Linked DNA regions of Sus scrofa. The protein of the gene in region 2 interacts with the protein of the main gene of each other region in a pairwise test. Links are inferred from orthologs where the notes say so. Each region holds a gene or a part of one and is shown on either strand. Other genes may lie near its edges.

What was found.
Region 1: the proteins of SPERT (region 2) and SCNM1 interact in binary tests that used the Homo sapiens proteins (3 or more experiments, as listed by UniProt). The two-hybrid records come from large-scale screens. The link is inferred for Sus scrofa from reciprocal best matches to the Homo sapiens genes CBY2 and SCNM1.
Region 3: the proteins of SPERT (region 2) and LMO1 interact in binary tests that used the Homo sapiens proteins (3 or more experiments, as listed by UniProt). The two-hybrid records come from large-scale screens. The link is inferred for Sus scrofa from reciprocal best matches to the Homo sapiens genes CBY2 and LMO1.
Region 4: the proteins of SPERT (region 2) and PLEKHN1 interact in binary tests that used the Homo sapiens proteins (3 or more experiments, as listed by UniProt). The two-hybrid records come from large-scale screens. The link is inferred for Sus scrofa from reciprocal best matches to the Homo sapiens genes CBY2 and PLEKHN1.
Region 5: the proteins of SPERT (region 2) and CNNM3 interact in binary tests that used the Homo sapiens proteins (3 or more experiments, as listed by UniProt). The two-hybrid records come from large-scale screens. The link is inferred for Sus scrofa from reciprocal best matches to the Homo sapiens genes CBY2 and CNNM3.
Region 6: the proteins of SPERT (region 2) and CCHCR1 interact in binary tests that used the Homo sapiens proteins (3 or more experiments, as listed by UniProt). The two-hybrid records come from large-scale screens. The link is inferred for Sus scrofa from reciprocal best matches to the Homo sapiens genes CBY2 and CCHCR1.
Region 7: the proteins of SPERT (region 2) and C2H19orf44 interact in binary tests that used the Homo sapiens proteins (3 or more experiments, as listed by UniProt). The two-hybrid records come from large-scale screens. The link is inferred for Sus scrofa from reciprocal best matches to the Homo sapiens genes CBY2 and C19orf44.

Annotation. Positions count from the first base shown.
Region 1 is NC_010446.5:98,079,575-98,083,591, reverse strand, and holds SCNM1 (sodium channel modifier 1), read left to right. Parts: upstream 1-1,217; 5' UTR 1,218-1,336; coding exon 1,337-1,387; intron 1,388-1,654; coding exon 1,655-1,725; intron 1,726-1,965; coding exon 1,966-2,054; intron 2,055-2,151; coding exon 2,152-2,249; intron 2,250-2,357; coding exon 2,358-2,446; intron 2,447-3,110; coding exon 3,111-3,305; intron 3,306-3,553; coding exon 3,554-3,653; 3' UTR 3,654-3,748; downstream 3,749-4,017. Other genes in the region: LYSMD1 (lysM and putative peptidoglycan-binding domain-containing protein 1), read right to left, coding at 266-445. UniProt on the Homo sapiens protein: As a component of the minor spliceosome, involved in the splicing of U12-type introns in pre-mRNAs. Plays a role in the regulation of primary cilia length and Hedgehog signaling.
Region 2 is NC_010453.5:21,617,903-21,622,011, forward strand, and holds the start of SPERT (spermatid-associated protein), read right to left. Parts: upstream 2,801-4,109; 5' UTR 2,767-2,800; coding exon 2,713-2,766; intron 1-2,712.
Region 3 is NC_010451.4:1,048,365-1,052,442, forward strand, and holds the start of LMO1 (rhombotin-1), read left to right. Parts: upstream 1-1,278; 5' UTR 1,279-1,308; coding exon 1,309-1,333; intron 1,334-4,078. UniProt on the Homo sapiens protein: May be involved in gene regulation within neural lineage cells potentially by direct DNA binding or by binding to other transcription factors.
Region 4 is NC_010448.4:63,333,847-63,336,640, forward strand, and holds the end of PLEKHN1 (pleckstrin homology domain-containing family N member 1), read left to right. Parts: coding exon 1-9; intron 10-146; coding exon 147-296; intron 297-466; coding exon 467-607; intron 608-775; coding exon 776-907; intron 908-1,078; coding exon 1,079-1,288; intron 1,289-1,534; coding exon 1,535-1,583; intron 1,584-1,665; coding exon 1,666-1,781; 3' UTR 1,782-2,294; downstream 2,295-2,794. UniProt on the Homo sapiens protein: Controls the stability of the leptin mRNA harboring an AU-rich element (ARE) in its 3' UTR, in cooperation with the RNA stabilizer ELAVL1.
Region 5 is NC_010445.4:56,809,317-56,813,329, forward strand, and holds the start of CNNM3 (metal transporter CNNM3), read right to left. Parts: upstream 2,801-4,013; 5' UTR 2,429-2,800; coding exon 1,090-2,428; intron 1-1,089. UniProt on the Homo sapiens protein: Probable metal transporter.
Region 6 is NC_010449.5:23,548,110-23,551,609, reverse strand, and holds part of CCHCR1 (coiled-coil alpha-helical rod protein 1), read left to right. Parts: intron 1-175; coding exon 176-339; intron 340-438; coding exon 439-574; intron 575-762; coding exon 763-873; intron 874-1,081; coding exon 1,082-1,231; intron 1,232-1,685; coding exon 1,686-1,796; intron 1,797-1,880; coding exon 1,881-1,987; intron 1,988-3,500. UniProt on the Homo sapiens protein: May be a regulator of keratinocyte proliferation or differentiation.
Region 7 is NC_010444.4:61,095,143-61,098,642, reverse strand, and holds part of C2H19orf44 (uncharacterized protein C19orf44 homolog), read left to right. Parts: intron 1-2,692; coding exon 2,693-3,014; intron 3,015-3,500.

The DNA.
Region 1 (4,017 bases), on a different chromosome or scaffold from region 2:
CAGATGCGCTAATGGATGTAAAGTCTTTAGTATAGTGACTGGTATAATAAATAAGAGCTGCTCACCTCCACCGGGATATTGAGACAGGATTTGTCTCAACCAGACAGTGCAACACGAGATGGGACCCTTGTCAATTAATTTATCACAATTAACTAATTTAGACACAATTAGGAAAATTTCAGGTGAAGTTGCCCAGAGGGCCACTATATCCTCATGAGGAATAAATCTTTTCTGAGTGTCTGCGTCCCAATCCTGGAAGACTCACCGTCACCCCGTATTTGAGTGCTAGTCCAGCCAGGGTGTCTCCGGGCGCCAACTGATGCTCCAGGCGTCTTTCCCTCACCGGGGAGCAGGCAGACTGCACAAGGCTTCCATAAGAACGAGCCCGGCTCCCTTGAAGCAGTCCTGACCCCCCGAGGGGGGCCTGTCTAGAGGGAGAGGCCATCTCCTCACCCTGCGGACAACTGGAGTTGCAACTGCGGGAGGCCCGGCCAAGTGACCGATAGTGACAGGCCCGGGGTCTGGGAATGAAAATCTGGAGGATTCCTTTCCCTTTCTGTGTTCTCTCCTAAGTCTCTCCGCCTTCCCCCCACTAGGCGACCTCTGACTCCTGGCTTCCCCGCCTTCCAAGGCCTTTTCCCACAAACCTGTAACCTGACTGTTCAGTCCCTACCTGAGTTTCTCCTTAGTACCCCTCCGACTTTCGATCCCCCACAACTCGCGACATTGACCTCTGACCTTTGACCACTAGACACCCTCCTCTACACTACAGAGTTTGCCCCCAGGTCGGTCCGCCAGACCTCCCAGCCCCCAACCCCGATTCCGCGCGTCCCGGGCTTGGTCGCTAGGGTCGGGAACTAATCAGGCCCACTCCAGGTGGGCTGTGGCCTCAGGCGAAGGGCGTGATGACCGCGAGAATCTGTAGCACACTTTCCCCTGAGAGATCCTCAAAGGTACGCTCCGCATCAAATCAGTCACACTCTCAAACTCGGGATCCACAGCTAGGTTCCTCTTTCTCCAAACGCCTCTAATCTGCCAAGATGCAAGGGCCTGAATCGGGCAGGGCGGCAAGCTCTTTGAAAAAAGACTTCATTTCCCAAAAGGCTCCGCGCCGGCGGGGTCGCAGAGCACCATAGGAAATGCAGTCCCCTCTATGGGCTAGAGGCGGGTTTTCGGGATCGCGCGGCGCATGCGTGGAAGCGCATCCCGGAAGTAAGGGGGCCAACCGGAAAGAGACAGGAAAGAAAGGAGACGTCCCACTCTTGCTACGGTGGCCTGAAAGGAGTGGCGAACGCGGCGCGATAAAACTTATATTTCTGGGGCTCTCACAGTCGTGATGTCTTTCAAGAGGGAAGGGGACGATTGGAGTCAACTCAATGTGCTCAAAGTAAGCGCGAGAGGAGAGCATCTGGAGCAGCTTCAGTTGCCGTCTGAAGGCTGTGAGGGAGCTGTTTTGTTGCTGTGGCAACAACTCGGGGGAGGGGGGCGGAGGAAGCCAGACGATTGGAACTGGGCCGACACCCCTTCTTCAGCCCAGATCTCTACCCTTCTTGTGGCCTTTATTCCCTTTGAGTCCTCGTCCTTGTCATTTCCTTTTTGTTCCTCCCTCATATCCAGCTGACCCCGTCCTCATTTCTTCCCTTGTTCCCTGCAGAAACGGAGAGTCGGGGACCTGCTGGCGAGTTACATCCCAGAGGATGAGGCGTTGATGCTACGGGATGGACGGTGAGGACTAGGAGTGGATCAAGCCTGGGGGTTCTGCGGTTAGAGGCTCAACAAACTTTTGTTATTAAGCAGATTGGAAAGAACAAGGAATCTTTGGCGGGGAGTGAGTAACAGGGATGTTGGTGGTGGAGACTGGGAGACTTGGGATTTGGGCTTTGGAAAGGAGTTCTAGGCTGTGGTGGAACCTATGGCAGAGACTCCACTCCCCAGGAACCAATTATCTTCTCTCCTCCTCTCTAGCTTTGCTTGTGCCATCTGTCCTCACCGACCGGTACTGGACACCCTGGCCATGTTGACTGCCCACCGTGCAGGCAAGAAACATCTGTCCAGTAAGTTTGTGGGAAGACAGAGCATAGAGAATAAACCCTTAAAGGGTTTATTCACTCTGGGTGCCCTCCTTTTAATTCTCTTTCCCTTTCTCCTGAGGCCTGCAGCTTTTCTATGGCAAGAAGCACCCAGGAAAGGGCCTGGAGCCAAATCCAAGACAACAGAATGAATTGAGGAGAGAAGAGACCAAAGCAGAGGTAATCAGAGAGGGGAGGGTGTGTTCCAGGCTGCACACCTTAGGCTTGAAGGCTCTGGATTCTTTCTAGCTCTGAAGGTTCTGACTTTGTCTCCCATCTCCATGCCAGGCTCCTCTGTTAACCCAGACTCGACTTATTACCCAGAGTGCTCTGCACAGAGCTCCTCACTATAACAGTTGCTGCCGCCGAAAGAACAGGTCTGTGGGGTGGGTAATCCAGAAGTAGGGAGGAACAGGAGATCGATCGCTCTAAAGTACTGTTTTCCAAATTGGATTCTGAGGAATACTAGTGTTCTGGAAATGCTAACTTGAATTTCAGGAAAAAAGAATTTTGTTTGGGAAATAGGATTTTGTAATCCTGTTTGACGCATAGTAATATTACGAGTTCCCATCATGGCTCAGCGGTGAACAAACCCGACCAGCATCCATGAAGATGAGGGTTTGATCCCTGGCCTTGCTTGGTGGGTTAAGGATCCAGTGTTGCTGTGAGCTGTGGTGTAGGTTGCAGACACAGCTCGGATCCCATGTTACTGTGGCTGTGGTAAGGGCTGGCAGCTGTAGCTTGCATTCACCCCTAGCCTGGGAGCCTCCATATGCCACAGTGCAGCGCTAAAAAGACCAAAAAAAAGAATAGTAACAGTATATTTTCAGGGTTCTACACAGTCTTAAAAAAAAAAAAGCTGAAAAAACTAACTTAGGCTTTCCTTAAGTTCATTTGATTCCAAAATCCTTTTTATGCAGAACACCTGTTAATATCTTGAGGAATACAGTTTAGGAAGCACTGCTTTAAGGGGTTGGGAGTTACAGGAGATTTGGTCCTTTCCTTTACTGCTTTTACAGACTTTGATTCTTCTCTACCCAGACCAGAAGCCCCTCGTCCCTCTGTCTCTCGTTCCGCTTTTTCACCCCCAGAGGTTGAATCCCAAAGTGAGAGGATCAGTAGGGAACTTGAGCCTGCGGCTGCATCACAAACCAAGGAATCAGCCACTGTCTCATCCCCTGCACCTATGAGCCCCACAAGAAGACGGGCTCTGGATCATTATCTCACCCTTCGAAGGTGAGTGTACGGAATCACTTTCCTCAGATTGTCCCTTTTCTCTCTGGCTCTCCTTTTTTCAAACCTCAAATATTACTTATCCCTACTAGCTTTTGGGGGGGGCGGGAGGCCATGCCCACAGCATGCAGAAGTGTGCCACAGCAGTGACAATGCAGATCTATAAACTACCGAGCTACCAGGGAACTCCGCTACTAAATTCTTAACACATTTCCTTTCCTGATCGATTCTGTTTGTTCTGATATTTCCAGTTCTGGATGGATCCCAGATGGACAAGGTCGATGGATAAAAGATGAGAATGTTGAGTTTGATTCTGATGAAGAGGAACCCCCTGATCTCCCCTTGGACTGACACTCTTTCCCCATTCAGTTCACAAATAAACTATAGTGGGCGCTGGGAGCCTGACTTTCCTTGAGTCTGGTTCCTTGTCTCATTTCAGGATTTCAGGTCTGTTCGTTCTCAGCCTGGCCAATATTTCCCTGCAATGTACACAGCTCCCCATACTTCTAGCCCCTCCCCCCACTTCTACCAAAGTCATGCCAAGCGTCAGCTGCATGCAGCCCGGTGCCCTAAAATAAGTCTGTCAGAAGGAGGTCTTTGCCCTTCATGTTGTCTGACTTCTTCCCCACCTCCACTCAGAGTCTTTTCCTCCTTCAAATGACATGAAGTTTTTGGGTAGGCACTGGGTGGGGTGGGGGTGGGAGCTGGACAGGTC
Region 2 (4,109 bases):
TTTCCTTATACTGTATGGAACAAGGAAAAGGGAATAACACTTACTGAATGACTACTATGTGATGGTGTGCTAATTGATTTCCATATTTATAGGCAATATCTTACTGAAAGGAGCTACTGTGTTTCTACCTGAGATCACACAGCCAGCAAGGGTTTAAAACCAGGATATCTGACTCCAAACTGCATGCTCATTCTAGCGCTTCGCAATGTCCAGATATTTTATTATGCATGTGTGTTGCTATCATTACTTTGCAGTGGTTCTCCTATGTCCCATCCCATCTTCTCCCCGGATGAATAAAATATAATTCTCTAGGGACAGTGACCCATGCCTTAGGTTTTTTTGACGTTCCCAGTCCTGGGAATTAGGACCACACATTTCACAACAAGGGGTTCGTGCCCATAAAAAGCTCCTGGAACACCCGGAAAGTTCCAGAGTGATCCCAGCGCCCAGAGCAGCCTGGCCAGGTTTCCCATGAAGAAAAGGATTGGTCTCCTCCCTGATCTGTGGGCAGTGCCCTGGCATGTGGATGCAGACCCAGGAGGTGGGAGAGGAAAAGGTGGGATTCCCCGTGGAAGAAGGGGATGCAAAGAAGGATGCAGGATGCAGGAGGGGAAGACTCATAGCTGTGGGGTTCTTTCCAAAGGCTTTATTAGCCAGGCAACCAAACAGGTTGGCCTCAGAGCAATGTGCTCCCAGCTGTGACATAAGTAGGATGCATTCATGCTGAGGGCCCAGGAAGGGCTCTGGGCACCAACATCTCCCGCACAGATGCCTAAATCCCCCCTGTGGTTGGGGATCTGTCCTTAGCATCAGGCCTGTCCTTCTCCCCAGCATCTCGTGTTTTGTTTTTTTTGTTTTGTCTTCTTAGGCCTGCACCTGTGGCATATGGAGGTTCCCAGGCTAGGGGTCTAACCAGAGCTGTAGCTGCCGGCCTACACCACAGCTACAGCAACGCCATCTACAACATACACCACAGCTCACGGCAGCACCAGATCCTTAACCCACTGAGCAAGGCCAGGGATCGAACCCACAACCTCATGGTTCCTAGTCAGATTTGTTTCCCCTGCACCACACTGGGAACTCCGACCAAGTCCATTAAAGCCCTGCTTTGGCAGCGTCACTGAGGGTTACAATCACAGAACATTCAGCCACCGGAGGTTCCCTTTCAGGCGTGTGAAGCTGAGAGGCCCCAGGATGCTGGAAGGAAAGACCAGCCACGCCACTAATTTTCAGACCAGGTGATAAGCCTGAGCCTCATTATCATATTTTTAAATTAACTCTGCTCCCGAGTGCCATGAGAAAGTCAATGTTGGTTTTCATAAATGCCAGCAGATAAGAGGATAATTCACAGGTCAATGTGATTGATCTTGATAGAATCATAACATTAACAGCAAAGAGGATAAAGATGTCATCTGCCATCCTCTGTGCTCATTTTTGCTAATTGTTGAACACGGAATCTTCTGACATCTTCTTCCTAAAGCTTATTCAAACTGGCAGAGGTGCAGGCATGGTCGGCAGAGTCCATAGCTTCTGAAGAACAAACCCAAACCCAGGGGACTGGGACAAGGGAACAGAGAGGGATGGGGGGCGGCAGGAGTGGAAGGGGGTCGCTGTCAGAATGCATCCTGACCTGGTGTAGGTCCTGCATCAATGGTCTGGCAGTAAACAGTGCCTTTAGGAAGTTCCCAGAGAGCGCTCACTGGGGAACTGCGACCCCCCCCCTCCGCCCGAACTGAATTGTTATGTACAAAAGGACCCAGGAGGGCAGAGAGCTTGGGCACTGATGGTTAACGCGCTGGAGGGAAAGAGCTCAGAAAGTACAAGTCCCTAATGTGAGGAAGAAAAACTGAAAATCAATAAGACCTGAAAAGACCACAGGGTGATAACAAACAGTGAGCCATAGGCATCTGCAATGTAACTGAGATGCGTGCCTGGCGGCTTGTTTGGGAGCCAGGAGGCCAGAGGCGCTTTCTGGCAATGCAGGGCTCAGGGCTGCTTGTGGCTGTTCCCTGCTGCGACGAATGGACTTGGTCTCAGAAGGAAGCAGAATGTGGCAGAGACCTGCAGGGAGCTCGGGGGTAGGCAGTAAAGATGGGGGGGAGGGGAGGTACCATGTCCTAAAAGCCAGGGAAGACGCAGCTGGCCTGTGCCCAGCCGGGGGCACAGCAGAGGAAGAGGCACTGACCTGGTTTCAAGCCTCCAGCTCCAGCCCTGCCTTACTAGTGGGGCTTCTGGGTTTCAATTCCTACACAGTCTCCCTCACGCTGCTTGGCCCCATGCCCACCACGTGATCACATCACACATCAGTGCTCAGGGCATCTCCCTCTCTCCCCCCCCAACCCCCGCCGTGTTAAGCAGATCGGTCCTTGCCCCGCCGCCAGCCATGCACAATCTCCTCTGGGGAGATCGAGTCAGCACACTGGTCCCTCACAGTCCTAGAGGTGGCCCAGTTCAGATCATCTAAACTTACAGACTACAGCCACACCACCCTGAACAAACCGGACCTGAACGCGCCCACATCTCATCTAAACTTAGAGACGCACCCTTCCCCCACCCAGGACTGCCGGCCTGGAGCATCCTGCTGAGGGTCCGGAACCTGACACAGGACTTGTGCGCAGCAGCAGTGCCTCACGTCCTCCGAAAGGCCAGGATGCCCAGGGGCAGTCAGTCCTGTTCCTACACAGCCCTGGACAGAGCTCTCTGGGTGGCTACCTCTACGCTGGATTCCTCCGCCCTACATTTCAGCCCCTCCGGCTGCACAGCCATGATCTTCCAGCAGGGCCTTAGGTGACTCTGAAGAAGCAAGGCTGCCCCCCCTTTGTGACATAGCCATGGAAACAATCCAATCAGGAGAACCCCTCCAGGGAAACGGCTGCTTAGCAGGCGGAGAGCTGAGAATCTCCAGCCCGTCATCCATTCACGGGCTTCCATTCGGAATCCTGCAAGCCCCGCCCCCCCATACTCTTGTCTTGGGCAAAAAGCAGGTCTTAATTCTCCTGACACCCCCAGATGACCCTGCACCCCTTGGGCTGAGTCCTAGGTTGTCTCCTCATGGGTTCAAGTCATATGTTTTTTGGTTTTGTTTTTTGTTTGTTTGTTTTTCTTTGTATGGCCACACCGGCGGCATATGGAGGTTCCCAGGCTAGGGGTTGAATTGGAGCTGTAGCCGCTGGCCTACACCACAGCCACAGCAACATAAGATCCGAGCCTCCTCTGCGACCCACACCAGTGCTCACAGCAACAACGGATCTTTAACCCGCTGGATGAGGCCAGGGATCGAACCCGTGTCCTCATGGATACTACTTGGGTTTGTTAGTGCTGGGCCGCAATGGGAACTCCAGGTCTTGCGTTTTTGATTCCAAGTCTCAGATCTCATTGTCTGCCAGCCACCTCCCAGGACCTGCCAGAAATCCAGAGAAGTTGCAGAACAGCCAACGCCAAAAGATCTAATTTTGGAGAGACTGGCTTATTTCAGAGTGTCACAGAGATTTCAAGGGGTAGGGCCGGAAGATCTTATCAGATCACCTAACAAGCTCCCTCCCCACCCCCCATTCAAGACTCAGAATGGCTTAAGTGCCCTCCCCCAGCCACACTGCTGGCTTGGCAGCTGCCCTACAACTAGAATCGGAGGCCTTGCTGGCTCTGCCTGCTCCATGTCCTCAGGCTAGAGTTTTGAAAGGGGAGGGTTATTCTGGCTAACTGAAGGGTTGCATCCTTCTGTGATTATCCCTACCTGAGGCAGAACCACATTGATTGGAATTTCTAGGCTTTCACATCTGGTATCTCTTTTTCTTGTAAAATTTGGCCTCGAGTGCTGCGGAAAAGAGAAAATAAATGGATTTCTGCTTCCCGGCCCCTTCTCTGGGCCTCAGATGCTCACCCAGAAAACAAGACTTTCTACTGCTCACTTATCCCTTCTTGCTAATAATGTACTTTATGAAAATCTGAGTCTGAAAGGATGTGAAAGTGATATCTGATAAGATATTTTACAGTTGATGGCAAAGCCTTCTGAAAGTTTTTGGAGTGGAGGTGCCTAAACCTACCACCTTTTCTAAGATTCTTTTTTTTTTTTTAAGGGCCGCACCCACAGCATATGGAGATTCCCAGAC
Region 3 (4,078 bases), on a different chromosome or scaffold from region 2:
CATCTGGAGCCTTCCTTGGTCTGGAGAAAAGCCAGTAAGAGTTCCCTCCCATCCCGGAACTCTGTACTGTCCAGAAGAAAAGAAGCTCCTGCCACTGGAGAGTGGCCCGTGGAGTAGGCAGCCTGGCCCCCGCCCCAGGGCTCTCGGGGAGAAGCGGGGGTCAGGAGGAGAGGCGGTGAACCCTGTTCCCTCCCTGCCTCCTGAGGCACAGAGCAAGAATTGTCGGCTCCGCAATGAGCAGGAGTCTGTTTTCACTGCTGTATCCGCAGTGCCTTAGAGTAGAGCTTGGCGCATAATACATGCTCAGTGAAGAGTTGTGGAGTGAAGAGAAGCCCTCAGAGCCCTGCTGTGCCTGCTCCGAGAGAAGCTGAGGCAGGATCCCACCGTCTGTGGAATGAGGATGCTCTTCTTGGGAGGGGCGCGGGGGGAGGGGCGGTGCTGTGAGGCTGCGGGGGGGGGGGATGTGCGCCCTGCAGAGGGTTAACTTTGCCAAGCAATCCAGGAGCACCCAGAAATCCCAGGCAGAGGAGGCAGAAAGGGAGGGTACAAGGTCAGAGAACAGGCTCCCGCTGCGGGCGGGGCAGAAGTCAAGGCTGAGGGGCTGGGTACGACAGACAGGGGCTGAGGACCCGGGGTGCAGAGCGGAGCCCCGCGCCGATTTGGGGCCGAGGGGCCTCCAGGTGGCGCTGCGGAGCCGGGCAGCCGCGCGTCTCCACTCCCCATTAACCCGGCAGGGAGGGGGCCTCGGGAAATGTGTGCATTTATTCAGTAGCTGGAGTGCAAACCTCATACATTGAGGGAGAAAGGCAGCGGGAGACGGCCGCCGAGATTCCCCCATCTCTTTGAATATAATTTTAGATTGAGATTCAGATTAAATCCGAGGGGAAAACACTTTATGAGGCTGAAAGCTGTGTCGTTGCCAGAGCCAGGGTTATGAGCTATCAAATGCAATTACATTAAGACAGATTATACTGGGCAAATTGAGCCATTTAGAAGGTGAGAATCAAAGAAACGGCTCTGATCCTCTCCCCCCCCTCTCTCCCTCTCCCTCTCTCTCTCTAAATTGCAGTTCGCAGTTCCTTGCAATTCTGAGGCACAAAAGTAGGTGAGACTGCTTTTGTATCCGCGAAGTGCTTCACTCCTGAATGTAATTCTAGCTGAGTGCAATCTAGGTTAAGAGCCGGACAAGCGGGTAATTAGAGCCCGCTCGCCGCCCGCCCGAGGACCGGCCGCCCCGCCGAAGCGCGCCCGGCGTCGGCGCCCTTCTCCCGGCCGAGCCGAGCCGCGGCTGGACACGGAGCGCCCGAGATGATGGTGCTGGACAAGGAGGACGGTAGGTGGCGGGCGGGGGTCGCGACGCCGCCCCCGCTCCACGGCGCGCGGGGGGCGGGGGGGACACACGCCGGGACCCAGGCGCGCACCCGCCGGCCCTGCCGAGCCTGCCGGGCTGGCGGTCGGCGGGGGGCCGGGGCCGGGGCCGGGGGGCGAGGGGAGGGCCGAGGGGGACTGGGCGGGGAGGCGACGGAGCCCCGGGCTGCGCGCCCCGGGGCCGGGCTGGGCCGGGCCGCAGGCGGGCGAGCCGCGCGCCGGCCGTGTGATGCTCCGCGGGGCCGCGAGGAGGCTCCGGCGCCTCGGATCTCGGCGCAGTGGGGCTTCGCGTGGAGCGGTTGGTCTTGGCGGCTGCGCCTCTCGCCGCAGCCATCAGCCTCGCGCCGGCCGGGTAACCCGAGAGGCGCTGAGCGCCGAGCAAATCGGTGGCTTCAGGAGGACCGGACTCCAGAGCTCGCGGCGAGCTGGTGCGCGGAAGCACGGCGCCCGCCGGGGGTGCCGGGCAGGGAGGGGCAGGCGGGCCGGCCCCCAGGGGAGGCGGCCGCCCGAAAGCTAGGAGAGAAGAGGGGACGCTTCCTGGGCTGCCCACTGCCCCCTGCCTCCTGAGCGCGGAGGCGGGAGTTTGGCCCGGGGGAAGGAAGTGCCCTGCCGCTGGCAGTAGCCCGCGCGCAGCAGCAGCGTGGACCTGACCCGGTCAAGAGCCTCGCTGCGCCTGAGAGGTCACAACAGAGGGGCCCGCGGTGGCTGGAAGCCACTAGCAGGTGGTCCCGCTCACCCCAAAGCCTTCCTGACTGCAGTGTTGTGCAGCAGTTGGCCTGGTACGTCTGGCAGGAGCTGCTGGGGACCCAGCTCCCTTGAGGGGACAACCAGTGGGTGCCTGTGACTCAGGGGCAGCCCCCCCACCCCGGGTCAGGAGAGGGGCCGTTTCCTGGCTGTCCCAGGCCCTCCCGCTCTGCAGGTGCGGATCTCTGGTTTGTCGGTGTTGTTGGGAGATAGGCGGTACCTGTTAGGACCCCCGCGCACTACCTGTGAGCTGCTGGTGAGAAACCGAGATGGGTCCTCTGGGCGTCAGCGGGATCCTCTTAGAGTGACGTGGTGGTGGCCGTGGTGGCCGTCTTCTGACCCCTGCTAGTGCGTCGTAGCGGTCTGGGCCCTCTGCCTTCCAGATCAAGGTGTTCCTGACATGGGCGTTTGGTGGAAATCTAAAGTTAAGTGACTTGCTTAAGGTCACACAGGATGTTCCCTTTGCTGCCACCACGTGCTGATGCCCCCAGCCTCTGTGCCACCTTCTAAGACCTCCAACGGGGAGGGCCTGGGGGTGGCATGGGGGTTTGCCCTGTGGCCGGTGGGCCCGTCTCTTGGCACGTGTGTAGAAAGAGAGGGCATGGGAGCTCATGCTTCTGGTCGGCAGAGGCCCCCTGCCGAGGGCTGGCGGGGGCGTGACGGCCGTCTCCCGGCTTCTTGTCTGTCTTCGCGGACCCTCTCCTGGGCCCCAGGGGCTGTCAGAGGGCAGGGCTGGGGCAGCTGAGTGTAGATCAGAAGGAGAAGCGGTCTGTGGCCAGGTGGGACCAGGAGGACTGGCTCCTTTCTCTGCTCGCCCTGGGTCACAGCGGCCCCGCCATGCCCTGCTCTGGACCTCACCTTCCCTGCTGGCAAAGGAGAAGCTGGCACGGGGGTCCTTCCTTGGTGTCTGGGGCTGCTCTTGTCGGGGGAGCCTGTGGAAATCAGGGGTGTCTTTAGTAAGGATGTTTGAGGGGCTTGGCTCCCCAGGCCTGTACCTGGGCACCTCCGCAGGGAGTCTGGTCTCCAGCTGGCGGGGCCAACCCGGCCCCTGCCACCTCGGGTCTCGGAGCTCAGGCTCTGTGCGGGCGCCCCCGAGTGCCGCGGGCTCTGTGAGGCTAAAGGTTTGCGGAGGAGCCCGGGTGGGGGTGGCCCTCCGGAGGTCATTTCAGCCAGTCTCCCGCCTCCGGGGTCAGAGCAAGACAACCGCTCTGGGCATAGGCGTTTCCCCAGCTGTCACCAGCCCCATGGTCCCCACCCTGGCCAGTCTCAGCAGTGTGGTGACCAGTACTGCTGACGTCACTGAGCTCTGGGGCCCGTCACAACCCAAGGAAGGGGCTGGCCAGGGCCCTGAGGAGCCGCTTGGTCCGTGTCCTGCCCAGCTGTCTTCCACGAGCAGCCTCTCTGCTCACTGGAGTCTCGCACCTCCTGGTTCCAGGAAACCTTGAAGGTGGCCCCTTCCGTGGGCTCTGGATCCACTTACCCCCCCCACCAGACCTGCTGCCTAATTCCTTCCTCGTACTTACACCCACCCAGCAGGGGGCGGTCTGGGCCGGGTGGCAGCACCGGTCCCCAGGCCCCCCAGGGAGTGTGTCCCACGGAGCGGTGGACGGCACCCAGGCTCCTGTTAGCCACCCCCACGCCTCTCCCCCAGCTGACGGCGTCTCGTTGGAAGAGGACAGGGCTCCTTTGGCTGAAGCCAGGTCCGCCAGCTGCCAAGGACCAAAGCTCTGGCTCTGCTGGGCTGCCGGGCTTTCATGTGGCACTTCTGAAAGATAATAAAATATCAATCGCTTTGCCGTAGCAACGGGTTTAAGAGACTTTCTGAAGTATTGAATCGTCAGAAAAAAAAATTTTTTTTTTTTTTTTTTGCTTTTAAGCACAGTGCATTATTAATAAAGTAATCCATTAGGTCGAGCACTGAAGGGCCACCACAGAGAGGAAAGATCTGTTTTGCAAACGGTTAAAC
Region 4 (2,794 bases), on a different chromosome or scaffold from region 2:
CCCACACAGGTGAGGGGTTGGCAGCAGCGGGATGCTGCCCCACAGCTGGGGTCCCGGGCAGTGGTAGAAACAGGAGGATGGGTCTGGGCATGGGTACGTGGGGAGAGGTGCTGTCGGCTCACCCTCACCCACCACCGACTGCCCAGATTGTGGGTGGTGGCCAAGGCTCGCTCTCCTCGGATGGACGGACCAGCTGGGACTCAGGGTGCCTGGCGCCCGCCTCCACCTGCACCAGCCACTCCCTCCCTGAGTCCTTGGTGCCCTCTACCACAGACTGCCCTGCCCAGCTTGCACTGGTGAGTGTCTGGAGGGGAGTGGGCCGTGGAGGGAGAGGGGGAGCCCAACCCAACTAGGATCCTACCTCCTCAGGGGAGGGCACTTGGACTGCAGGGGCTCTGTGTAACCTCAGAGGGCTACGTGGGAGAGGGCCCCAGGGAAACTTTTGGAAATTTCTTGGTCCCCGCAGGAGCAAGCCAACCCTGACGGCACCAGTGTCAGTGGACACAGGGCAAAGCTGAGACGGGGCGGCAGCAGCCGATCACCCAGGAGCAAGGCGAGGGGCGAGGGGCCCAGCCCAGTCACCCCACTGCGCCTGGACCTGACCAAGGTGGGCCCAGCACAATGACCCTGGCTCTGGGCCTGCCTCTCCCTCCTGCCCGTCACCTTCCTGGCCTGTCTCGGTCCCGGAGCTACCCAGAGGCCTACAGCATGGAGCAGGGAGGGCTAGGCCACTTCCAGTTCCAGGAAACCTGTCGCATCTGTCTCTTGCCTGCAGCTAAGCCTGGAGGACAGCCTTGAGGCCCCGGGCCACTCTCTGGAGACACCACACTCCCCACTCTACGCTGATCCCTACACACCACCTGCCACTTCCCACCACAGGATCGCAGATGTCCGGGGCCTGGACAAGGTCAGTCCCCTGCTGGGTGACAGAAAGAGCTGGAAGTGCCCACAGCCGGAGGTTAGGAGGGTGCCTGAAGCCTGAGGTCTGCCCAGGCTGTTGTGAGAGGCTAAGGGGTTTCTGGGGCAGGGGTCCCTCAGCTGCTTGGAGGTCCTAGCCTGAGGTCTTGGTCACTGGCAGTTCCTCAGCGCAGTGCAGAGCTCACTCGGACCTGAGCCCTCGGGCCCATTCCCCGCCGGCCCGGGGTCGGTACCTGTCTCGGACCCCAGCTCTGGATTCTCCAGCCCCCACTCGCTCTCCGAGAAGGGAGCCCTGCAGTCCCGAGCCTCTCAGCGGCATCGTGGCTCCATCAAGGACCGGGGGCCCCGGCTCCCAGGCTCCCCTCAGCATGTGAGTAGCAGCCAGTCCGCCCCGCCCCAGGCAAGGGGTCCTGTTGGGAGAGGACGGAGCATGGAGCCTCCTGGGACCCTGAGGGAGCAGGAAAGATGGAAACGGGGAGAGCAGGTGGGCAGAGACCTATGCGCAGTCGCAAGATGGGGGCACTGGGGAGGAGGAAGGCCAAGGGGAGAAGGTGGGCTGGTCTTCAAGCCCCTTTTCCCAGGGCCCATCTCTGAGACTTGTGCTTGGGGTCCTCAGGTCTCCCCCGCCAGGGAAGCGTCCCCCCCGCCCCTGCCACCGCCCCCAGGTAAGTGAGGGCCCCGCCTCCTCCGGGGAGAGCTCTGGGTGTTGCTCCCTGCAGGCACATGCATCTCTGCCCTCCCCACCAGATGGCCACCCCTTCAGGAGCTACGACAGCATCCAGGACAAGGCCCTGTCACCTTCTCACCAGTGGTGGCCTCGAGGAGCACCTGAGGCTGATGAGGGGCTCGTCCAGTGGATCTGATGGCCCTCGGGTGGCTGCTTCTCAGGACCGCTTATCAGCATTGACTTTGGAGGAGGGTCTGCAGCAGGGCCTGGCTCTTTCTTTGTGAGGCTCAGGCATCCAGTATTGAGCCAGGATCTGGCCCCAGCAGGGTGGAGGGAGTCTCCAGAACCCTGAGCTTCCCTGAGCCCTGGAGGAGCCAGGAGGGCCCCATCCTCAGGACGCCTTGGCCAAGGTGACTGGATGCCCAGGGTGCCGTCCTCGGCCTGCCTCCCTGGGGAGGAAAGAGTGAGGGGACTTGGGTTAGGGGCTTTCACCTGGGAGAGGGAGGATGGCACAGGTGTAGCGGTCAGAGAACCAGGAAAGTCAGCTTAGAGAGGGTCCGCGTATGGGAGGTCAGAGGGCACGAGGGCCAGCAAGGTCTGAGACTAGGAGGGCAGAGGGAGGAAGGTTCTCTGGGAGCGTGGGAGTGGAATGGGTTCACCGGGAGAAACTGACAAGAGACCAAACAAGAAAGAAAGAGATTTTATTGGCGCCATGTGTCCACGTGTTCTGTCCTCAGCAGCCAGGAGTCTCCTGCGTCCTGGGGACCCTGTACGCCATGCTGCTTCGGGGCTGGATGCCCACCTAGCACCCAGCCTGGCAGACCCCCGTGCTCTACCACCACCAGCACACCACCCACTTTCCTGTCCCATCTCCAGCTCCTCTCAGACTTGGGACAATCCCAGGTTGTCCAGTCCCTCCCCCGATGCCATTGTCTTCTGCCTCAGCACTTGCTCAAGGGTTCCCTGGAGGAAGGACTCCAGGCTCTGCCCTACAGACCCCCACCCCACAGGGCACCTTAGGTACCTGCTCACCATCTTGGGCAGGAACCAAGGAGGCTTGACTGTACACCCCTGGGGTTCAAGGGTCAAGGCAGCCTCAGAGGCCTCCACTGGCCCAGCCCACTTACAAACAGGGCAGAGTCCCTGGGACATGGCCTCCTAGTCTCAAGGCCACCCAGCCTCCCTACCTTTGCCCCCTGCTCAGACCTC
Region 5 (4,013 bases), on a different chromosome or scaffold from region 2:
CCAAGGCCAGCAGCAGCCATGGGAACCACCACTGCTTCAGAGACTGCAGTATTACTCCGAGATTGAGTACCTAATACCAGGAAGCTCTGTCTGGCCCCTACCCTGGGCTCCTCTCCCGAGAAGAGCTTCATGGCCATTTTCTGAGAAAGCAGCCAGAAACACCGAGAGAAGCCAGAGCTGCCCATCGAAATCTTCCATCCAATCCCGAAATAAAATCATACCGGTAACTGCCTAACTTCAACACCCAAGCCTCTTGCAAAGATCAACGGCGATTGTGCACGAGAGCGCCCACTAGTGGCCGGCATGCAGCAGTGCTGATGCAGGAGTAACTACAGCAGAGCCTCACCTCCCTGCCCTGACTGTCAAGGAGCTCACACAGTACCTTCCATGATTCCTAGGGCCCAGGGACTTCACAGCTGCCAGGAAGATGAGAGGGCTTTGCTCACTTCTCTGCCTCAATTATACAGTCTTTAGGGTGAAGCTCATCCAGAGTCCTGAGTTGTCCCCATGCCCAGCCTGCAGGAGTTCAAGTGTGAGAGGCCTGGCTAGTGGCCAAGTTCTGGTGAAGACATCGAAGCCTGACAATGGAGAGTACAGGCTGCAGAAGAATCCAACTCTTCACACCAGAAGAGTCTCAGTTTTTACGTGCAAGCTTCGAGTGAGCCAGAGTAAAAGCAAAGTGTAGAACTCTGGAGTTAAGAGTAGACTTGAGACGGTCCAGGTATCTAGAGACTATACTCTTCTATGTTTCTAGCCAAGAGTTTGGACCTACTACAAAAGCCAAAGCCCACAAACTTGATTTGGTGAACAGATTAGGAATCAGAGTCAAGTGGACATACCTCCCCAAACTGGGGGCCTGCCAGGAAAAGGGGGGTGTTGTGCTTCATAGCACAGTCAGTTGCAGAACGATAGCCTTTAAATGGTATTTCAAAGGGTCATTCAGAGCTGCAAGGCCATCATCTTCATTAAAAGGACCCTTAGAAGCCTTACTAAGGGTGGAAACCTTCTCTAGTCTTCCCTGAACCCTTACTTCTTTTCTAGGGGAAGGCGCTGACATTCGAGTCCCCTCCGCGATTCCGGGGCCTTTACCTCGCTTGAACTCCTCCAGGACGGCGTCCAGCTTGGTGTCGTTGAAGACGAAGTGGAGTGGGTGATTGTAGAAGCGAGTGATGGTGCTGAGTGGCGTGCAGTCTTCGGGGTCCACGAAGGCCAAGTCCTTGAGGTAGAGCATGTCCACGATGTTGGAGCGCTCCTCCTCATACACGGGGATGCGCGTGTGACCGCTCTGCATGATGCTGGCCAGGACGCCGAAGTCCAGCACGGTGCTGGCGTCCAGCATGAAGCAGTCCTCGAGGGGCGTGAGCACGTCCTCCACGGTCCGGCAGGGCAGCACGCCCTTGCTGAGATCGCTGTAGGGGTCGCCACCGCCGCGCGCCAGCTCCAGCACGCGCTCCCGCAGCCGCCCAGGCCGCGCGGCTAGTTCCAGCAGCTGGCCCACCGGGAGCGCCACGGGCAGAGTGAGCAGCACCGCCAAGCGGCTGAGGATAAGAGCGCGCGGCGCCAGCGCCAACGTCCAGCGCCCGCTCACGGCAGCCGGCACCACCTCGCCCACCAGGAACAAGAGCCCCGCGCTGCCCAGCACGGCGGGCACGGCGCGCTGGCCAGCCGCGCGGTACAGTAGCACCGCCAGCGCAGCCTGAGCCAGGCTAGCCAGCAGCAGCAGCGCCCCGAGGGCGCAGCCGGCCCAGCGTCTTGAGGGCTCCAGACGCCGCGCCGCCGCACGCTCCGCCTCCGAGCCGCTCTCGCGCAGCACCTGCACTTCGGCCGGCGCCAGCGCCAGGGCGCTCAGCTGCAGGCCCCGCGCCAGAGCCGCCAGCGCCAGCAACCCCGCCGCCCCCAGACCCACTGCCCAGGGCGGGGCCGCCTCCTCGGCCGCCTCGCCGCCCGGCTCTACACGCACGGCTAACAGCGCCGAGTGCGGGTGCGCGGACTCAGAGCGCAGACGCAGCAGCGCACGCCACTCGCCCGTGGGGGCCGCCGCGCCGCCCGGCTCCCCACGCACTGCCAGCCGCGCGGAGTGCGGATGCGCGGCCTCCGCGCGCAGGCGCAGCAGCGCACGCCACTCGCCCGTGGGGGCCGCTGCCTCGTCTGGAGCTGCGACCGGCCCGCCCTCTGGGCAGCCCGCCCCCTCGGGGGCCACCCAGGACCAGGAGCTGTTGGCTAAGCCCGACCCGAAGAGGCGCAAGCGGAAGGTGGCCTCCGGAGCAGTCCGCACCTCCTCTCCTCGCGCCCACCCCGTGCCTGCCGCTCCGTCCTCTTCCAGACAGACGCCCAGCACTCGAGGACCCGGAGCCGCCTCCGCGGCGGCGTTGCCCAGGCAGAACGCGGCGAGCAACCAGCCTAGCCGACCCGCCGTTGCCGCCGCCATCGCCTGCTGCCCCCTCTCGGCCTCCCGCGCAGCCTACCCCTCCGCCTCCCCCGGGCCAATTATCGCCGGCCCTGGCGCTTCCTCCACCAATAGGCGGCAGGCGGGGGCGGGCCCCAGGGTCGGACTAGGCTGCGCCGGGGAGTAAACAAGCGGCGGCGCGATCCTGGGGCGGGCCGGGGGCGTGGGGCTCTAGGCCCCGCGGGGCTACACCGCGGCTCCCTGGGCTGGGGCTGGCCGGCTCCGGGAGGACGCGGAGCGGAGAGCTGGCCCCCATCAGCGGACGTCTGGTTTCCCCCGGCCATCCCCGCGCACCCGGAGGCCGGTCCGGGCTCTGGGAAGTGCCTGGCTCAGGATTCGGGCCTCAGAGCGGAGTGGCGCTCCTGAAATTGCAGGCAGAGACTTCAGCGAATGGGAGATGGGCAGTTTTCTCAGAAAGCGCCCCGTGAACCACAGACCTAAAGGGCAAGGAGGGCTTAAAGAACTGGTGACTAGGCTTCGGAAGCTAAGGTTTATTGAAGACGTGTGATTGCTCCCGACTCTGCTATTGGTCTGGGTTGTGACACACAACCCCTGTTTTAAAAGGAACTTGCATTCTTGCCAGGAAGAACGACAGTAAATAGATAAACACACGAAATCACTACCTCTTTGGATCCTTGCAGCTACTTCGTGTTATTAATATATTGCACGGGAGAAAAGTAGGACTCGACTTGGCACAGATATCGGGCTCCAATGCGACCAGCCTAGTACCCTGTTCACCATCCTAGCCGCTTTAGGAGATGGCAGCTCTGTCAGGAATTACTGTACCTGGTCGTCCCACTTCTAGCAGATCATTCTTGGGAAAATAATTCCTAAAGACAAACAAGTGTTCCTCAGCCCATTATAATGTCATCTTGACCTGGTTGGAAGGAAACATACAGACTGCTAACAAGACTTCTCTATAGGTGTGGAGAAAAAAGGGCTTTTTAAGAGATTTTCTTTACATTTGTATTATCAAATTTCCTAACACAGTAGACTGTGATAAGACCATCCATATACATGTCATTTTAAATAGTCTTTACGAGGATTCTATAGAAACACATTGCTATGTTCTGAAAATAATATAAGTAAGTGAGGCACTGTGGCTGCAATTAAGTAAAATAACGTTGGTGTGGAAGGTAATATGCAAAATTGAGTAAACCAACAGAAATACTGTGTGAGAATTTTCAGAATAAGCCGCCAGAAGAAGCAATAATACTACTGAGCTTTTCCACTGGACTGGCACACTTCTTTTGGAAAAAGGAAATAAACTCAACCCCTTTGGTTCACACTTCTGTCCCCCAGTCCAGAGAAAATGCTGACACAGTGAGAATGGATGACAGGCTTGAAGTGAGTCATGTGCCTGAAAAGTTAACTCACAAAGAACACTTCCAGAGGCAAGATGGGGAAAATGCCTAGTGCATCTAGACAGGGCTCTGACCTTTGACAAGTAACTTTTCCCTTAGTCTCTGGCTCCCTTAGAAAACAACCTATAACTTATTCTGGGGGGAAGAAGACCTTTCGGTAGAAGAAAACTTTTGAAAACTTGGATCACACTTGGAAAACACAA
Region 6 (3,500 bases), on a different chromosome or scaffold from region 2:
GGGAGTAAGGCGCTAAGGACGGTCTCCATTCAGTCGTGTGCCGTTGGGTGATTTCTTGGGTCGTCATCCAAGGTCATAGGAAGTGGGGGTGAGGGGCAGGACTGAGGCGGGAGGAGGACTTGGGAAGCCAGCTGTGGGCCAGCAGGCCCTGCTGAGCGCCCCCTTCTCTCCACAGCTCTCCTCCTTGACACAGGCTCACCAGGAGGCTCTTTCCAGTTTGACTCACAAGGCTGGGGGCCTGGAGAAATCTCTGAGTAGTCTGGAAACCAGGAGGTCAGAGGAAGCCAAGGAGCTGGCTGCGGCCCAGAGGGAGGCTGAGCTGCTGCGGCAGCAGTTGAGGTGAGTAGGGAGGTGGCCGAGGGGGTCCAGCAGTTGGTGGGTGGGGTGGGTCTCCAGGGTGCCCCACTGATGGCTACCCTGCTCCCACCCCAACCCTAGCAAGACCCAAGAGGCCTTGGAGGCTCAGGTGACCTTGGCTGAGAACCTAAGGAGATATGTGGGGGAGCAGGTTCCTCCCGAGGTCCACAGCCAGACGTGGGAATCAGAGCGACAGGAGCTTCTAGAAACTGTGCAGGTGAGAGAGTGCTGGGCATGGGGTGGGACATGAGGGCTCAGGTCCTGGGCAAGGGGGCCGCTGGAGCAGAATACAGCCCCCGGGGAGAGAAGGCAGTGCCGTGACCGGGGCCCAGACTGGCCATCCCTGAGGGCTTCTGGGAGCTCCAACAGAGCGGCTGCCCTCCCCCTACCCCCACTCCACTGTAGCAGCTGCAGGAGGACCGGGACGGGCTGCACACCACGGCTGAGCTGCTGCAGGTGCGCGTGCAGAGCCTCACGCACATCCTCTGCATACAGGAGGAGGAGCTGGCCCGCAAGGTAGGCCCCTGGGTGCCTTGCCCTGTCCCCAACCCCAGGCATGGGAGGGGTTGGCGTGCCCCTCCCCGAACCTGCCAGCATCGTCTTCCCCTGAATGCCTTTTCTTGCTGTGGCTGCCAATGGCCTAGGCAGGACAGAAGAAACAAAACCCACCCGCTTCCTCTGCTCCCCAGGAGCCCACACTCCCCGCCACTTCCTCCACCCGCAGGTTCAGCCTTCAGACTGCCTGGAGCCCGAGTTCACCAGGAAGTGCCAGGCCCTGCTGAAGCGCTGGCGGGAGAAGGTGTTCGCCCTCATGGTGCAGCTGAAGGCCCAGGAGCTGGAGCACAGAGGATGCGTGGAGCAGCTGAAGGGACAGGTGGCCTGGTACCCTCTTTCTCCCCGTCTTCTCCCCCAGCTCTTTGTTCCTTAGGGCTGGCATTTATTCAGTAGATACCTACTGAATGCTTCTCACATGCTGGCTGCACCGCCCTGAGCAGAGGCCGACAAGGACCTGCTCTTGTGGGGTTTACTTTTTGTGAGGTGGGCCGGCCTTAGGTGGGATGGTCACCTGAGGAGGCGACAGCATTCAAGGATGGGTGGGCGGCATGAACAGAGGCCATGGGTCCTTGTGGGTGGGTCACAGGGCGCTTCCTCAGGGTGTGGGTATAGGGACCATGTTTCTGGAGGGAAATCCCGACTCAGACTCCAGTCTCAGGAACCCAAGCTTTGTCTCCCTCTGCGGCCTTCTTTCCGAGACCTCTGCCCCTGACCCCTTCCCAGTGTCCCCCCTACAGCTTTTGGGTCTAGACCTGCCTCCTGTCCTCCCCCAGGTGGCAGAGCTCCAGGAAAGAGCTGAAACCCAGGGCCAGGAACGGGCCATCCTGGAGCGCTCCCTGCAAGACAAAGCCGCGGAGGTGGAGGTGGAGCGGATGAGCGCCAAGGTCAGCGTCTGAGACAGGCAGAGGCCAGGGGAGAGCAGGGACACCCCAGGAAGGGGACCCTTCTCTTTACTGCCTCCTTCCTAGGCCCTGCAGATAGAGCTGAGCCGCGCTCAGGAGGCCCGGCGCCGGAGGCAGCAGCAGACGGCCGAGGCGGAGGAGCAGCTGAAGCTTGTGGCCAATGCCGTCAGCAGGTGTCTGGGGTGGAGGGTGGGTAGAGTGGCATTTCTGCTTCCCTGGCTTCCTGGGCGCTTTGGAGTTCAAGAACCTTGGGCAAGAGGGGCCAAAAAGCTGGCCACGTGGAGGATGCAGGGCTGGAGGTATCTAGCCCTGTAAAACCTGGTTTTTTTTTGGTTTTTTTTTGTCTTTTTCTGTCCACACCCACGGCATATGGAGATTCCCAGGCTAGGGGTCCAGGAGGAGCTGTAGCTGCTGGCGTACACCACAGCCACAGCAACTCGGGATCCGAGCCGTGTCTGTGACCTACACCACAGCTGATGGAAATGCCAGATCCTTAACCCACTGAGCGAGGTCAGCGATCGAACCTGCATCTTCATGGATGCTAGTTGGAAGAGTTAGCTGCTAAGCCACAATGGGAACTCCTAAAACCTGTTTGTTTATTCTTAAGGGGTAACCCCATCCCACAGTCACACCAGGGTCACTTGTTATGATTCCCAATCATTGTGTGTTTGACTGGAAGTGAGCTATTACTTCCTCTTACAGTTAGTCATGTAACAGCTTGAACTAAATAGAGCCTAGGAGGCTTCAGAACTGTTCCGGGGTGGGGGGCGTTGGTTGTTTGTTTTTCCAGTTGAAGGTTTAGGAGGTTCCTGACGTTGTGACTCAGGTAACGAACCCAACTAGTATCCATGAGGATGCGGGTTCGATCCCTAACCTTGCTCAGTGAGTCAAGGATCCGGTGTTGCCATGAGCTGTGGTGTAGGTTGCAGACGTGGCTCAGATCTGGCATTGCTGTGGCTGTGGCGAAGGCCAACAGCTGCAGCTCCAATTCGACCCCTAGCCTGGGAACTTCCATATGCCACATGTTTGGCCCTAAAAAAAAACAAAAAAACCACGCCCAACCCAATCTCAGATTGTTGCCAGATTTATTAGTCTCTTGATGGCTTGGAGATGCTATCAGGAAAAGGGTTTCATAAGAGCCACAGTGTATTGGAAGCACCTGCTCAAATAATTTCCAGATAAAAGTGATGTCTGCTGTGCTGCTAGGGATACAACCTCACCCTTTGTCATCTGCTTCTTTTTCTGTTGGCGCAGACTTGCACTCTCCTAGGGAGTTCCAGCCCCACCTAGTGCTGGATGCTAGGGATGCCCTCCTCCCAGGGGCCCTGGTTAGGCTTCTTGATTTTCAAGAGCCACCCAGCTGCTTTGGGTCCAGCCAGCTGATAAAGCACATGGACCTGGCCTTCGCTGGCATCAGGGATTGGTTGGCGAGGATAACTTTGATCTCTGATACATAATAGTGATCAAAAAGCAGATTGTGAGGAGTTCCCTGGTGGCCTAGATGTTGAGGATCTGCGCCTCGTCACTGCCGTGGCTTGAGTTTGATCCCCTCGCCTGGGAACTTCCATGTGCCACTGGCGCGGACAAAAAAGAAAAAGAAGGAGTTCCTGTCGTGGCACAGAGGAAACGAATCCCACTAGGAACCATGAGGTTTCGGGTTCGATCCCTGGCCTCACTCAGTGGGTC
Region 7 (3,500 bases), on a different chromosome or scaffold from region 2:
TTCATTTGTCTACTTATCAATTTATCCATCTATTTATTTATTTATTTATTTATTTAGTCTTTTTGCCTTTTCTAGGGCCGCTCCTGCAACATATGGAGGTTCCCAGGCTAGGGGTCCAATCAGAGCTGTAGCCGCCAGCCTACACCACAGCCACAGCAATGCAGGATCCGAGCTGTGTCTGCAACTTACACCACAGCTCATGGCAACGCCAGATCCTTAACCCACTGAGCAAGGCCAGGGATCGAACCTGCAACCTCATGGTTCCTAGTCGGATTCGTTAACCACTGAGCCACGACAGGAACTCCCTATCTATTTATTTATTTACCACACCTGTGGCATGAGGAAATTCCCCAGCCAGAAATTAAACCCATGCCACAGCAGTGACCTGAGCCACCATAGTGACAATACTGGATCCTAAACCTGCTAGGCCACCAGGGAACTCCTGCTTGTATTTATTTTTAGTAGAAGTTTTGCATTTGTACCTTTATGTCATAGCACTAGAGGTTTTTTTTTGGTTTGTTTTTGTTTTTTTTTTTGGCTATGCCCAAGGCATGTGGAATTCCTGGCCCAGGGATAGAAACCATGCCACAGCAGCGACCCAAGCCACTGCAGTGATATGCCAGATCCTTAACATACTGCACCACAAGGGAACTCCCACTAGAGACTCTGATGGCAGCCATCACTCATAAGCTACTTGAGAAAGTGTTTACAAAGGAAAGGTTGGGTTTCAGCCCATCACAGGTACCCATTCCTGGTCTGTTCTGTAAGGGACGGGATTTGGGACACATTAGACAGTTTTGCAATATGTTGAGCTTATGCTATATACACCACATGACAGCACCAGCAGTGATCACTGCTATTGGTGATCCTCGCCTACTTGTCAGTTGTACCACACAATAATCACTAACTTGGGAAGGCTGCCTTTCCATTTTTTAAAAATTGAGGTGGGAGTTCCCTTGTGGTCTAGTGGTTAGGACTCGGCACTTTCACCACTGTGGTCCGGGTTCAATCCTGGTCTGGGAACTGAGGGCACATATTAAGCCACTGCATGCCATAGCTAAAAAAGAAAAAAAAAAGGTCAAAATTAAAAAATAAATAAATAAAATTGGGGTGAAATAACCTAAAATTGATCTAATAACAATCCAGTGGCATTTAGTGCCTTACACAAACCACCAGCTCTGTCTCGTTCCAAAACAGTATCATCATCCCCAAAGGAAACCCTTACCTAGTATCACTTCTGTTTCTCCCTCCCCTAGAACCTAATAGTCACTATCTCCTTTCTGTCTCTGTGGGTTTGCCTGTTCTAGACATTTCATGTAATGGAATCACATGGAATCAGACAACACCTGGCCTTTTGTGTCTGGTTTCTTCCCCTCAGCATGATTTTTTCGAGGTTCACTCACATTGGAGCGTGTATCAGTGCTTCATTCCTTTTTATGGCTGAATATTATTCCATCGTATGGGTGGACCACATTTGGTTTATCCATTCATCTATTGATAGGCATTTGGGTTGTTTCCACCTTTTGGTGATTGTGACTAGTGTACAAGTATCTGAGTCCCTGTTTTCAGTTCTTTTGGGTCTATACCTAGGAGTGGAATTGCTGCGTCCTATAGTAATTCTATGTGTAACTTGTTGTGGAACAGATGAACTGTTTCCCATCAGCAGTGTATGAGGGCTCCAGTTTCTCTACATTCTCGCCCACATTTGTTTTCCGGGGGGTTTTTTGGTTTTGTTTTTTGTTTTTTGTCATAGCCATCCTATGCGTGTGAAGTGATGGGACGGTTGTAGGTTTTTTTTAATTAATTTATTTATTTTAGTCTATTTAGGGCCATACACATGGCATATGGAAGTTCCCAGGCTAGGGGGAAAATCACAGCTGTAGCCACAGCAAATGGGATCCGATCCTTGTCCGTGACCTACACCACAGCTCGTGGCAATGGTGGATCCTTAACCCACCAAGCAAGGCCAGGGATTGAACCCACATCCTCATGGATACAAATTGGGTTCATTACTGCTGAGCTGCGACATGAACTCCATTGGTCTTGTTTTGTTTTGTTTTTAATCTTTTAAAGATTTCTTTCCTTTTGGCCATGCCCAAAGCATATAGAAGTTATGGGGCCAGGGATTGAACCTGCGCCACAGCAGTGACAACACCAGATCCTGAACCTACTGTGCCACCTGGGAACTCTAGGAAGGTTGCATTCTAAAAGGGAAAAATCTGTATATTGATTTTGACTCTGTTGAAGATCCAGGCAGTCATAGATCACGTACTAAGGGAACCTGGTTTAGAAAATGTGTAATTAACGGTATGTATTTGAAAGCAAAGTGATATTCCTAATTATTTGTGGAGTATGTTTTTTTCTTTTTAATTTTTTTGGCCATGGCATGCAATAACTTGATGTGGGGCCTGGGTTCCCAGACCAGGGATTGAACCCAGCCTGCAGCAGTGAAAGCATAACCACTAGACCACCAGGGAACTCCCTTGTGGAGTATTTCTAATCTCAGTGTTAGCTTGTCTAAATGTTGTACCTTGACTTCCAGAAATGGGGGGAGAGGAGAGATAGGAGCAGAGAAGGATAATTGTTTGATCACCAAGGAGTTAGTCTCATGCTTCCCACCAGCCGTGGTGTCCAATGATAAGGACAGATGTGTCGTACATTTGGTAATTTCACTTAATTTCCTCCAAAGTAGGATCAGACCCCAACTCAACCAAGAGTCCTTTCACTGCCCAGTAAGGACCTTTCCAGTTCAAAGCCATTTTGGACATCACGTGTGCCAACCTCACAGTCAGCCGATGGGATCCTTCGCAGCACTGGCTCAAGAAATTGTTCCCCACAGACTCACATTTCAGATGACACAGCCCCCCACAAAGCATCGATTTCCACTCCCGGCACCTTTCCGAAGTCATTGCCTTCGACAGTCGGGGACGGCAAGCTCTCATCCCCGCCCAGATGGAGTGAGGCTGGGCCTCTGGAGGAGTCTCCCTCAGCAGCTACCGATGACAGCCTAAACGGTAACCCTGGGTAGGAAGGGCAGGTCTGCCTTTAGGGTCCCCAGTGTGGTGTCACAGGGTATTGTCATGAGGAGTACCAGTCACACCCTCGGCTTCCTGATCTTTCCTAGTCAAGGAGCCAAGTCAGATTTTTGTTCTGTCTTTAAGCCTTCATCTGGTAATGTTGCCCAGTGACAGAGCAGAAAAAAAAAAAAAATCCTTCTCAAGACATGTGGATGAGAAAGGCAACTCAGTTTTTCTTGTTGTGAAAAAGGAATTTGCCTCCCTTCCTTTTTTTCTTTTTTTCTTTTTCTTTTTGGTATGCAGAAGCTCCCCAGGCTAGGGATTGAACCTGTGCCATAGCAGCAACCCAAGCCACAACAGCAACAATGCCAGATCCTTAACCCACTGACCCACCAGGGAACTCCTTTCCTTTCCTTTATATTTTAATTAAAAAATTTTTTTTTGTCTTTTTAGGCCTGCACCCACGGCATATGGAGGTTCCCA